2 linked regions of the Yarrowia lipolytica genome follow. The protein of the gene in region 1 interacts with the protein of each later gene in a pairwise test. Links are inferred from orthologs where the notes say so. Each region holds a gene or a part of one and is shown in the gene's direction. Other genes may lie near its edges.

Region 1 (4,921 bases):
GTAGTGGGTGGTGGAGCGTCTGATTTATGTGTATCGTTTGAACTTCCAGGTTGAGGTTCAGACAAGGACTCCGGAGAAGTGGACTCTTCTTTCAGGGGTATGGGGGCATCTTTAGGTGAAAAGTCCGTCGGCTCCTCTCCGTCGGCTCCGTAATACTCAAAATGATGGTCTGTGTTCTCCGACGTCTCAATCAGGGTCTCCATAAGAGACTCTCCCACTGCGTTTCTTAAAGGGGGGGAGCTTCTGACCCGGCAACCGTCTTCTCCAGGCAGAAGAGGCAGGTAGTAGGGCGCAAATAGCGCTTCGTCGTAGATTCGCGGTCGAATTTCATGATTTTCCTGCAGAAACTCGGCCGTGGCTTTGAGTCTATACCCTTCGGCAGTGCAGTAGGCTGTGACTCGTGGGAGCTTTGCATCTCGCGCATCTTTGCTCATTCGCTCGGCTATACTTCGTCTGGGCACATCTGTGACATACACCTTGGCGTTGGCCTCGTCGTAAGCATCTGCGTCTGTGTTGAGGTCGAACAGCTCGTGTCCCTTCAGCTTTCCGGGGATGGGCACTCCGTAAGCGTCTTCATCATCGTCGTCGTAGGACGGCGACTCGTCTGGGATCAAAACCAGTTTTTGCGACTGTTTCGACGTTCGCTGTGGGATGCCTCGCGCCTTTTGCACCGTGCTCTGGTAGTCGTGTTGCAGTCGCTTTGCTGGAGCTCCGTCCAACAGTCCAGACACACTAATGTTGCTGAACTTGTTTCCTTTCGATTTGGGCCGTTTCGAGAAGGACTGGCGCCGGCCGCCTGCAAACGGCGCCGGCCGCACGGGGTTAGTCCGCACATCGGTCACCAGAATCGACGGTGACCGTTTGCTCATTTGAGTCTGGTTGGACATGGTGCTGGTGCTGGTACTGTTTGGAAAGAATAAAAGTAGAGTTTCCATTGCAGCACTGAGATGCAGTCTAATACTGGCGTGTGAGGAAATGAGTCTGAAACTTCAGGAGCTGATTTGGTCTGGTCAATGGAGCGACGCAAGCAACGCAATCGCCGTGGCTTTATATCACTGCTTCTGTGTTTGTTTGCGCGCGTTGCCACACCCGCTATGTGACATGCGTTTCCTGGTCTACGGTTACATTGACTAGTCTCATTCCAGACCTAGAAATAGGCATATTAGTGCCTGCAAGACGACAGCAAGGAAGACAGAGTAGGAGACCAGAGTCGAGCTGGCTTGCTGGATATGAGGAGAGTGTGTGTAGTGAAGTTAGGGGGGCGTTGGTGTATGTCGATTTCGTGTTATTCTCGTTTTTCGGTGTTTTGTGGACATCCCTAATATTCGTGATTTGCAGGTGTCGAACCGGTGCCTTGGCGGATGCGTGGCTTAGAGTATCTCAAGTGGCTTGTGTGAATCTATGACACTATACTGTACGGACCCAGCTTCCGAAATAATGTATTAAGCGACTATCGAGTAGTTACTACTTTTATTGACTATATCCTGAGATGCTAGGGTCGATAATTCCTGGGGACTAATTCAATGACTAGTTCTGTTCTGAGTCTAGAAGTCAGGTCTATGTTAACGTTAGAAAATCCCATGTAATAGCCCACAAATGTCCTAACTAACAGGAACTCCACATTCCCTACTGTACAGCAACTACGGACACTTTTCTGGAATATAATTATAATTAATATCTAATATTTGCTCAGAATACGTGTACCTCCTCTGGAACTGTATAAAAATCATAGCTCGAGCTCCTCTGAAAGCCGAGCGAGACACACCGAGGTGAACTTTCCTCTTCACTACTTATCAACTAATGTAAGTAAAGCTACGGAGAAGGTATCCAAGGGGACTCCGAAATCACAGTTGGTCCGTGTATTTTTACTGAATTACATGCTACAAGTGCTGTACAAGTTCAAGTAGTGAATATCTGTCTTTCAAAAGATCGCTACGTGGCTCAGCCCAGCTCGTCACATTTTCTCTCTGAAATTTCAAAAATTTCAGTGTTGAACATCATTGAGTCCCAATAAAGCGTCATAAAATCGGTTAAAATGGGAGGAATTGGAAATATGAAGTTGTGAATCTGATCAAAATCGTTGCCCAGATCCATTTATTGTCACATGACCTCTCAATCTACCCCCGGTAGCCCCTAATATTAGGATATCCACCGATCCCTTCAATCCCCCGTTTCCCAGCTTGTCCCAACACGTGACTTTGAGTTTGGCGTTCAGCATCGACATCTTGAGATTTGTCTCTCTGGAAGCAGCAGCACTACAACACCCCAAAATGTCCGATCTCGACGACGATCTTCTTGCGCTTGCTGGCGGCGTGGACTCCTCTGACGAGGGCGATCTAACATCCAAGGCCGAGCCTTCCAAACGTCGACGTATTGATGAGGACAGTGAAGATGGCGACAAGGGAGATGATGACGATGGAGGTGATGATGGTGATGACGACCATCAGGACGACGACGAGGATGACTATGAAGCCAAGGGCGTTGACCACGACGACGACGACGACGACGATGAGTCCGAAGACGAGTTCGTGCCTTACCCCTTGGAGGGTAAATACAAGGACGAAGCCGATCGGCAGAAGCTGCTCAACATGACTGAAATGGAGCGAGAGTCTCTGCTGTTCGACCGATCGCAGGAGATGCAAAAGTACCAGGAGAAAAAGTACCTGACTCAGCGTCTTAAGCAGCGAAAGCGGGACACCGAGCGCAACTCTGAGCGATCTTCCAAGAGAGAAAAGCTGAGTGAATTGAAAAAGCGACGAGAGAAGCGAGCCCGAAAACAGGATGATTACGACGACGACGAGGAAGACGAAGGAGAGGAGGAGGAAGACGATTTTGACGACGGCTACGAACCGGAGGATCATGTGGTGGACGAAAAGGAGGTGGTCAAGACACTTGACGTACGACTACTCAATTCAGTCCGGTTCTCGCGATCCCAGCTCGCCAAGTTTTGTTTCTATCCTGAATTCGAGCAGGTTGTGGTCGGTTCTTACATTCGAATTCCAATTGCCGTCAGCAGAACGGAACAGCGAAACCGAGTGTGTCTCGTGAAGGAGGTTGTCCCCCTCAAACACAAGACGTATTCCCTGGAGGGCACTACAGTCAACTTTTCGCTCAAGGTGGCGTTTGGAGCCGACGAAGCCAACTTTGAGATGCGATACTGCTCTGACAGCCCCTTCACTGAGGAGGACTTTGTCAAGTGGAAAAAGGCGTGTGAGGAGGGAGGCGTTTCCCTGCCCAGTGTCCAGCGCCTGGAACGGAAACACAAGGAGCTCAAGGAGCTGGCCACGCGACCTCTCACATCGCAGGAGATTGACGACATGGTCCGCCGACGGTCCAAGCTGTCTGCGGGTCGGGGAGCCAACGCTGTGATTGAGCGGGCAGTGCTGGAAAACAGACGCCAGATTGCCGAGGACCAAGGAAATGAGGACGAAATGGCCAAGATTGATGAACAGCTGGCCGAGCTGGAGGCACTGAACACGTCCAAGCCCATCTCGTCGCAGAAAGACAAGTTTGCCGAGGTCAATGCTCGAAACAGAAAGGCCAACCAGGAGAGCATTCGAAAGGCTGAGTTGATGGATCTGGAGGCGCGACGAAAGGCTGCCATGAGCAACTCTGGTGTCAATGCCGATCCTTTTTCGCGTCTCAAGACGACCGTCAAGATCTTCCATCAGTCGGCTGAGGAGATTAGACAGAAGGAGATGGAGAAGGCGGAGGGGATCGCCGAGGAGGAGGCCAAGAAGGTGTGTTTGAAGACGCATAGTATTGATTCGAGAATTGCAACGATTGAGATTGATATTGATCTAAGCAAGTTGTGAACGGCGAGCGAAAAGCCAAGGATAGGTAGGTAGCACTTCCTTTGCTTCCGGCTGCAAGCGCCATGAAGCGTGAAAGACTAAGTCTCTTTGCCGGACTCCACATTCACATCAACAGGAATGGGTTTGAAGGCACAGTGAATCTGTTGTGGAGGAATAGTAGGTAGGAGCAGGGTTAGCTGCCCTGGTAAGTTATGTTTGTAATATATGGAACTGATTGTGATGTACAAGTTGGTAAGCAGGCGGTAGAATCGTATTACAAGAACTGTACAGTATGTACCGTCATACAAGTTTCTAAACAAGCTGCGGCATAACAGTGTTCACACGCCGCCACTGCTGATTGTTCAATACAGGAACGAGTACAAGTGCAATACTTGTATTCTGTCGATTCACCAGATCTCCACGAAAACAGGATAATATCTCTCTTTTATTACTTTTAATGGTGTACAGATTCCAGTAGGGTTTCAAAAGGGGGCCTCGACTGAGATTCCTTACTTCCCATAGATAGGCCATATAGCCATCCCTGGAACATATATAAAACAATACACAGTTAATTAATTGAACACACTAAGTCAGACCTTTACACTATCGTCTAGGAAGTGGTGCTCCTGTACTTCCTCCCATTCTCAGTCATACGACATAAAGGACGCTTGTGCATCATCTTGCGTAAATGAGAGTCAATAAAAGTACCTAAAATGATTTAAATGGCTTTAAATAACTATGTAGACAATTTCTGTTGGTCTTAGAACTCCTTTTGGGCTGGAGATGGTGTTCATTTGACCCAAGGGTCTGAACTGATATTAGATTGAACATACTGTAGATGGTGTTAGAGTGATAATGTACAGTACAGTACAGTAGTAGTAAGTGGGTTGTTTGAAAAGTACTTCAGGTGTATTCTAAGTATTTTAAGTGTATTCTAATTGCAGTTAATCTCATTGATAAGCACTTTGAATTTTCCACTTAATGTCCCCCTTTCCCTCTTCACCTCTTCAACTCAAGCTAGGAACAGTCCTATAGGCTGTAAAACCATTTCAAGAGACACATTGATTATGAGGACTTCTACTCTAGTCTTCTTTAGCTCTTTTGGGTCGTTTGTGGACCTCTTTTCT
Region 2 (7,218 bases), on another chromosome or scaffold:
CGTTTCCACAGAAATACTGTCTGACAATGACGTCTTCATTCTGAGCAGTTTCCCACAGAATGACAGATTTGTCTCCCGAAGCGGTGGCCAGGAAATCAGGCAGTCCAGCCCCAGTACTCATATCGAGAATGGCGTTATTGTGCATCTGAATGGTGTTGACATGTTGCAGCTGTTTGTTGACATTGACTGCTTTGCCGTCTTGGGTTCCGATCCAAAAGCCATTTGTTGAGCTGGAAGAAACGCCGCAAAGGACAGGAAGAGGACAATCTTCGATGGCCACGGCTATTCCCGTTGCCTGGGCGTATCTATGGGGTATGGGATTCTGGGTCATGATATGGCGTCTGAGACCGTCCATTTCGCGCCACTGAAGACGAGACAGAAAAGATGCATTGTGAGAGAGACTGTTGATGCCAGATCTCAGGTGAGAAGGCAGACAGACAGCGATTTCAAATGGAACAGGGCTTTTTTCAAGCGTGCTGAACTCGGCGGAGGTGTAGTCGTCTGTTCTCTTGATAGGCGAACTTGAAGGCGGGCTAGGAGGATATTCGTGACGTCGTTTTTTTGTGGCTCCAAAGTCGAAGATGGACGCCTGACGTCGTTTATTGAGCTGCGACGGCGAGAACTCCTGGAGAGGATGTGACATTTGTGCTGTGGGGAGTTGCTTGTTGGATTTGTTGTATTCTGTCCTTCAAGCAGTATTATATTTGTCAAGGCTGGGCCAATTTACGCGCGTCTCGCATGCACCACGCGTAGACGTGACACTTTAATTAGAGAAGAGGAGACACGTGTTTGAAAGCGTGGGAGGGGGTCTGAAGAGATAAAAGCCCACATTTATCTGTTTAAACAGGTACGACAAACATTGTATCACGCGATACCCTCTCTGCTGTCCTCAATTCCTCCTAAACACTCACTTCTCCTTTCCGGCTTGCCATTGGTGGCGTGAAAGAGCCATGCCATACTACGGACAGTTGAGAATTTCGTGATGACACATTCACCAGGCACCAGGTACAACCAAACTATGTGTCAGGTACGCACGTGATAACAGTACCAACAGAAATTGTACCCATTCTGTCACAGTGTCTTCTCCTATGTCGTGATCTATATGAGCCACATTCTCTCCTACTATTCACATCAGATTATGAAAGCTGCACTGTAGCTAAAAGGTTGGGAATTTACTGTAGGAAAACTGCACATACTGTAGAGAGCTGGGAGGAAGAGATATCAAATAATATAGCTTAAATCAACATGTGGAGATCTACTACTTTATAAGAACAATACCGTACAAGTGCACAAGTACATAGTTGCAGTCATGTTACAGCATCTGGACGACCTCAAAGTCAGTGTCTACCCAATCAGGAACACCCTAACCCTCCATATCCTTGTCGCCGCGTACATATTAAACTCTGGCCGGGTAAGTGGCATCTTGCCGGGGAAAAGGGTTTGAAAGATTCTTGTACAGAACTTCTCCCATTGGCCAGAACCCTAAAATGCGGTTAGGGCACCTCAGGCTAACAAATGTGGCTATCGCCCAAACTCCTCCTCCTCTAGCCAGACAAAGTACCCGCCCCTGACCTCTTGTTTGGCAACCACTGTCGCTTCAAAGTCACGCGTCTCGTCGACGAGATGAACACGCACCGCAGACACACTGTGGCATTGGTCTGCGCCTGTGCCACGCCCGCTGGACACTACACTACGGCGCTGTCCTGGTCACGTCCTGTCTGTGTCCCCGCCATCTCCTAGGCCCTGTGGTATCATATCCAAATATGCTTTGGACGTGTATCGGGGCGTTTTTGGAGTGTGGCTACGGCGTCAGAGAGCTCGTGGCACCGTCTAGGACCTACAGAGGTGCTCTAGGGCGTCGCACAAGGGCTGGGTCGCCCGGATCATCGCAGCCATGGTGCCCACACGCGTGCTCATGTACTCTGCTGCTCACCTCCGTGACTGACATCGCCAGACGCGTCACCTGGCGGAAGAACTCTTGGTGTGAAGCTTTGTAAACACAGGGCGTGAAGCTCTGTCTACCGCTGTGGTGACTCCTTACGTAGAATCTCGGGGACAACCATGACGATGTTGTGATTGTGTCTCCGCCGTAACTTTTCATGTCCTTACTCTGTATCTTTCATAGCGCAATTCATTCCACTCTCCCACAAACAATAACCCGTACCATCCCCACTGTTTCTGCATATACACATTACTGTGTTGCTGTCGTCACGCTCTTTTTTTTTGCCGACATTTTCTCTTCATCCATCGCTCACAGAACCGCGCAACAGCACAACGGAGAAGGAACCAGAGACTTGATCACGTCTCTTTTCCTCACACAAAAGCACAACCACGACGCCAGAAACACAGACAGAAGGTCATCAACCCCTCTGCATTTTCCCCGCCGCCCACAGCGTTTGATATACGTCCATTAGCAGGTTGTGGTAACAATGGTGAGTACACTGGACTGAAGATGGCATGGTGGAGAATAAGTGGGTGATAACTGTCACAAAGAGATGGTAGAGACAGGCTACGATGCTCTATCTACCCACAAAAGTCACCATGTTGCTGTTACTAACCCTAGAACCCCGACTTCAACGACGACCCCGAGCTCTATGGGCTGCGACGGTCCCGGAGATCAGCGGTGACTACGGCCAACGAGGCCCGCAAGAGATACGTCGACTATTCGTCGTCGGAAGAGGACGTGCCCAAACGTCCCCAGAGAAAGAAGCAGGCCAAAAAGAGCAACGGAATCGTCCTCTCCGACGAGAGCGAAATGTCTCTGGATGATGAGGAATCAGAGGAGGACGATGAGGACTCTGAGGAGGACGACTACGCACCGACCAAGAAGGCTAAGAAATCGTCTTCTTCCAGACGCAAGGGTGGACGAAACAAGTCGTCTGCCCGAGAGCCGTCCCCCGACTACCAGAACCTGCGGTTCTCGTCTCGTAACGCCAAGGTGGTCAACTACAATATTGACCATGACGATGACGAATTTCTGGAGGACGAGGATGAGGACGCTCTGCAGGACGCATACGGTGATGCCGCTGCTAATGACACATACGACTACGCCACCACCACGTCCACCGAGGCGGTGGATATGGTGCTGGACCATCGTCGAAAAGAAGGCGACGACGACTCGCAGATTACAGATCTGTTTGACGCCAAGCGACACCTCGAGTTCTACATCAAGTGGCAGAACTACTCGCATCTGCACAACACGTGGGAGACGTACGATTCGCTGGCCGGCTTCAAGGGAATCAAGCGAGTCGATAATTACATCAAGCTCAACGTGCTGGAGTATGCAGAGCTGCAGCGAGATGCATCCCCCGAGGATATCGAGGCCATGGAGCTGCGACGCGAGCGCGAACAGGAGGAGTACGCTGAGTATAAACTTGTTGAGCGAATCATTGCATCAGATCGTGTCGCTGTCGACAATGGAGCCACTCAGTTGCAGTATCTCGTAAAGTGGAAGCGACTCAACTACTCGGACGCCACCTGGGAAGATGCCGAGGAGATCGCCAAGATTGCCGAGGACGAAGTCGAGCGGTTCCAGGACCGGCTCAACTCGAAAATCAATCCCAGCCAGAGCGCAGTCTACCCTGCCAACTCACGTCCTCCGTTTGAGAAGCTTACCGAGCAGCCTGGCTTCATCAAGGGTGGTGAACTTCGAGACTTCCAGCTGACCGGAATCAACTGGATGGCCTTCTTGTGGTCTCGAAACGAAAACGGTATTCTTGCCGACGAAATGGGACTCGGTAAAACCGTCCAAACCGTTGCATTTCTCTCATGGCTTGTGTACGCTCGAAAGCAGCACGGGCCCCACCTGGTGGTAGTTCCTCTGTCTACTGTGCCTGCCTGGCAGGAGACCTTTGAGTTCTGGGCGCCTGGTATCAACTACCTCGCATATCTCGGCAACACCGAGTCTCGAAAAGCACTTCGTGACCACGAATTCTACAACAAAACTGGTAACAAGAAACCCAAGTTCAATGTTCTTCTGACCACCTACGAGTACATTCTTAAGGACCGAGCCGAGCTGGGGTCCATCAAGTGGCAGTACCTGGCTGTTGACGAGGCCCACCGTCTCAAGAACGCCGAGTCAGCTCTCTACGAGTCTCTCAAGGAGTTCCGAGTCGCAAATAGACTGCTCATCACCGGTACTCCGCTGCAGAACAACATCAAGGAGCTGGCTGCTCTGGTTGACTTCCTGATGCCTGGCAAGCTCACCATCGATCTGGAAATTAATTTTGAGAACCCTGACGAAGAGCAGGAGGGTTACATTCGTGAGCTTCATAAGCGCCTGCAGCCTTTCATCTTGCGTCGACTCAAGAAGGATGTCGAGAAATCACTGCCCTCTAAGACAGAGCGAATTCTGCGAGTCGAAATGTCCGACATGCAGCAGGATTACTACAAGAACATCATTTCCAAAAACTACACGGCTCTGAACGCCGGAGCCACCGGAGGTCACCAGATGTCACTTCTCAACATCATGACGGAGCTCAAGAAGGCCTCCAACCATCCGTACCTGTTCCCCACTGCCGAGAGCAAGTTCCTCAGCTTGGCTGAGAACGGCGCTTCTCGAGAAAACGTCTTCCGAGGCATGATTATGACCTCTGGTAAGATGGTTCTTCTCGATAAGCTGCTCACTCAGCTGAAAAAGGACGGTCATCGAGTTCTGATTTTCTCCCAGATGGTTCGAATGCTCGACATTTTAGGCGATTATTTGCAGATTAAGGGCTACCAATTCCAGCGTCTGGATGGTACTGTCCCCTCTGCCACCCGTCGAATTGCAATTGACCATTACAATGCCCCTGACAGTAACGACTTCGTCTTCTTGCTGTCCACTCGAGCTGGAGGTTTGGGTATCAACCTGATGACGGCCGATACAGTCATCATTTTTGATTCGGATTGGAACCCCCAGGCTGATCTGCAGGCCATGGCTCGAGCCCATCGAATCGGTCAGAAGAACCACGTGATGGTCTATCGATTTGTGTCCAAGGACACTGTTGAAGAGCAGGTTCTCGAGCGTGCCAGAAAGAAGATGATTTTGGAGTACGCCATCATCTCCCTTGGTATCACCGACAAGGGTTCTTCCAACAACAAAAAGACTGAGCCGTCGACCTCGGAGCTGTCTGAGATCCTAAAGTTTGGCGCCGGAAATATGTTCAAGGCCAACGATAACCAGGACAAGCTGGAGAACATGAACCTAGACGATGTTCTGAACCACGCAGAGGACCATATCACCACTCCTGATCTCGGCGAGAGTCATCTTGGCGGCGAGGAGTTCCTTAAGCAGTTTGAGGTCACTGACTACAAGGCCGATGTTGATTGGGACGACATTATCCCTGCCAACGAGCTCGCCAAGATCAAGGCTGACGATCTGCGTCGAAAGGACGAGGAGTACGTCAAGGAACAGATGGATCTAATGAATCGACGTCGAGCTGCCTCTCAGCGTGCCTCCACTGCTGCTCTTGAGTCCTCTGACGAAAATGAGGAGAGTGGAGGGCGGCGTGTGGTCAAGCGCAAGAAGGAGGACAAGTTCCTCAACGAGCGGGAGATCAGAGGTTTGTACCGAACAATTCTACGTTACGGCGACGTCTCCGTCATGTGGGATAAGCTTTTCAACGACGGTACTTTGCCCCAGCGAAAGTCCGATCTCATCAAGGAAGCCTACTTTGACCTCATTGACCAGAGTAAGCGGGAGGTTGAGGAGCGAGAAAAGCAGATCAAGGAAGAGGCTGAAGCTGCTGCCGCTGCTGCGGCAAAGGCTGCTGCTTCTCGAGGCGGTGGAGATACTGCCCTGGACGAGAAGAAGCCCTCCAACACCAAAAAGGCCGTTCTTTTCACCTTCCAGGGCGTCAAGAACATCAACGCCGAACTGCTCATCTCACGACCAGCCGACATGAAGCTCATTCGAAGCCAGGTGACGGACACTTTCAAGTTCGACGAACCTCTCAAGAGTGTGCATGGCTGGAACTGTGAGTGGGACGAGGACTGTGACGCTCGTCTGCTCATTGGTACCAAGAAGTACGGTTATGGAGCCTGGACCTTCATTCGAGACGATCCACGTCTCAAATTTGGAGACAAGTTCTACCTTGAGGAGCACCGAGTTGACAAGAAGGAGGCTCGAGAGAAGACTGGAGCCAAGGTTCCTGGTGCCGTTCACCTCGGTCGTCGAGTTGACTACCTCATCTCTGTTCTCAAGGGCGAGGCTGTTCACACCAACAACGATGGCAACAAGAAGCGAATTGCCATCAAGGAGCGTGTTCGAAAGAGCGAATCTCCCGCAGTGTCCACTCCTCAACCTCCCAAGAAGGCTGCTATCAAGCGAGATCCTTCCATCAAGCGAGATCCTTCCATCAAGCGAGAGACTCCCAAGCGAGAGACTCCTGTCCCCAAGAAGATTCCTGGACCTCCCACGGCTGACGACTACTCAGACTATGAGTCAATGGACGATGAGGCGTGTCGAACGACTCTCAAACCTGTCAAGGCGTCTCTGAAGCGCCTCAAGAAGGGCGAGGATGGTTTGGACAAGAAGGCCTGGCTGGAGGTCCTCAAGAAGGAGCTGTCCACGGTGGGCCACCACATCGACTCCGAAGCCCAGAAGGTCTCTGATAAGAAGCGGGAGAAGACTCTCAAGCATCTGTGGGCGTTTGCATCCTTCTTCTGGCCCAGCAGAGTCAAGAGTAACCGTATCCGGGCAATGTACGAGAAGGTCAGCGGAGCCGCCAAAAAGTAGACTTCCAAAGTCTACTGTAACGCATCATGTAATCATATTAAAGTAATCAATATTTGTATTTTATATCGGTGTGACTAGCTCTCGTAAGCCGGTAGTGGTGGTTGCTTCTCAGGTAAGGAGGCCACGGATCGTACTGGCAATGGCAAACTTGGATCAGTGTCGTTGCTTAGAGCGTTTTCTCGATGGAAGATCGTCACAGGAGTGCTGATATTATGGTCGAAGAATCGTCTTCTCTTAATGTTACCTTGGGTCTCCAGTAACGAGAATCTCAGCGTGCTCTGGAGAGAGTGTGAGGTGGGCGCTGGATGGCTTGTCTTTGTGGTTGGGTTGATGTGGTCTGTGAATTTCCTCAGCGAAAACTTGTAGTTTAGATCTGTGTGGTCTGAGCCGTAGTCGAGAAGATTTCCCTTGCAACATGTGTCCAGAAAGTGTTGTTTGTACTCGTAGCCGCTCTCTTCAATCTCCTTGAGTTCGTTTTCATGCTGTTCAAGCAGATCAGG

Evidence for each region.
Region 2: the proteins of YALI1_D02137g (region 1) and YALI1_C00422g interact in a two-hybrid assay, tested with the Saccharomyces cerevisiae proteins (3 studies listed by BioGRID, with this or other methods). The link is inferred for Yarrowia lipolytica from reciprocal best matches to the Saccharomyces cerevisiae genes RTF1 and CHD1.

Annotation. Positions count from the first base shown.
Region 1 is NC_090773.1:211,087-216,007, reverse strand, and holds YALI1_D02137g (uncharacterized protein), read left to right. Parts: upstream 1-2,270; coding exon 2,271-3,815; downstream 3,816-4,921. Other genes in the region: YALI1_D02150g (uncharacterized protein), read right to left, coding at 1-935.
Region 2 is NC_090772.1:37,627-44,844, reverse strand, and holds YALI1_C00422g (uncharacterized protein), read left to right. Parts: upstream 1-2,429; coding exon 2,430-2,432; intron 2,433-2,563; coding exon 2,564-6,718; downstream 6,719-7,218. Other genes in the region: YALI1_C00442g (uncharacterized protein), read right to left, coding at 1-643; YALI1_C00368g (uncharacterized protein), read right to left, coding at 6,793-7,218. UniProt on the Saccharomyces cerevisiae protein: ATP-dependent chromatin-remodeling factor which functions as substrate recognition component of the transcription regulatory histone acetylation (HAT) complexes SAGA and SLIK. It recognizes H3K4me.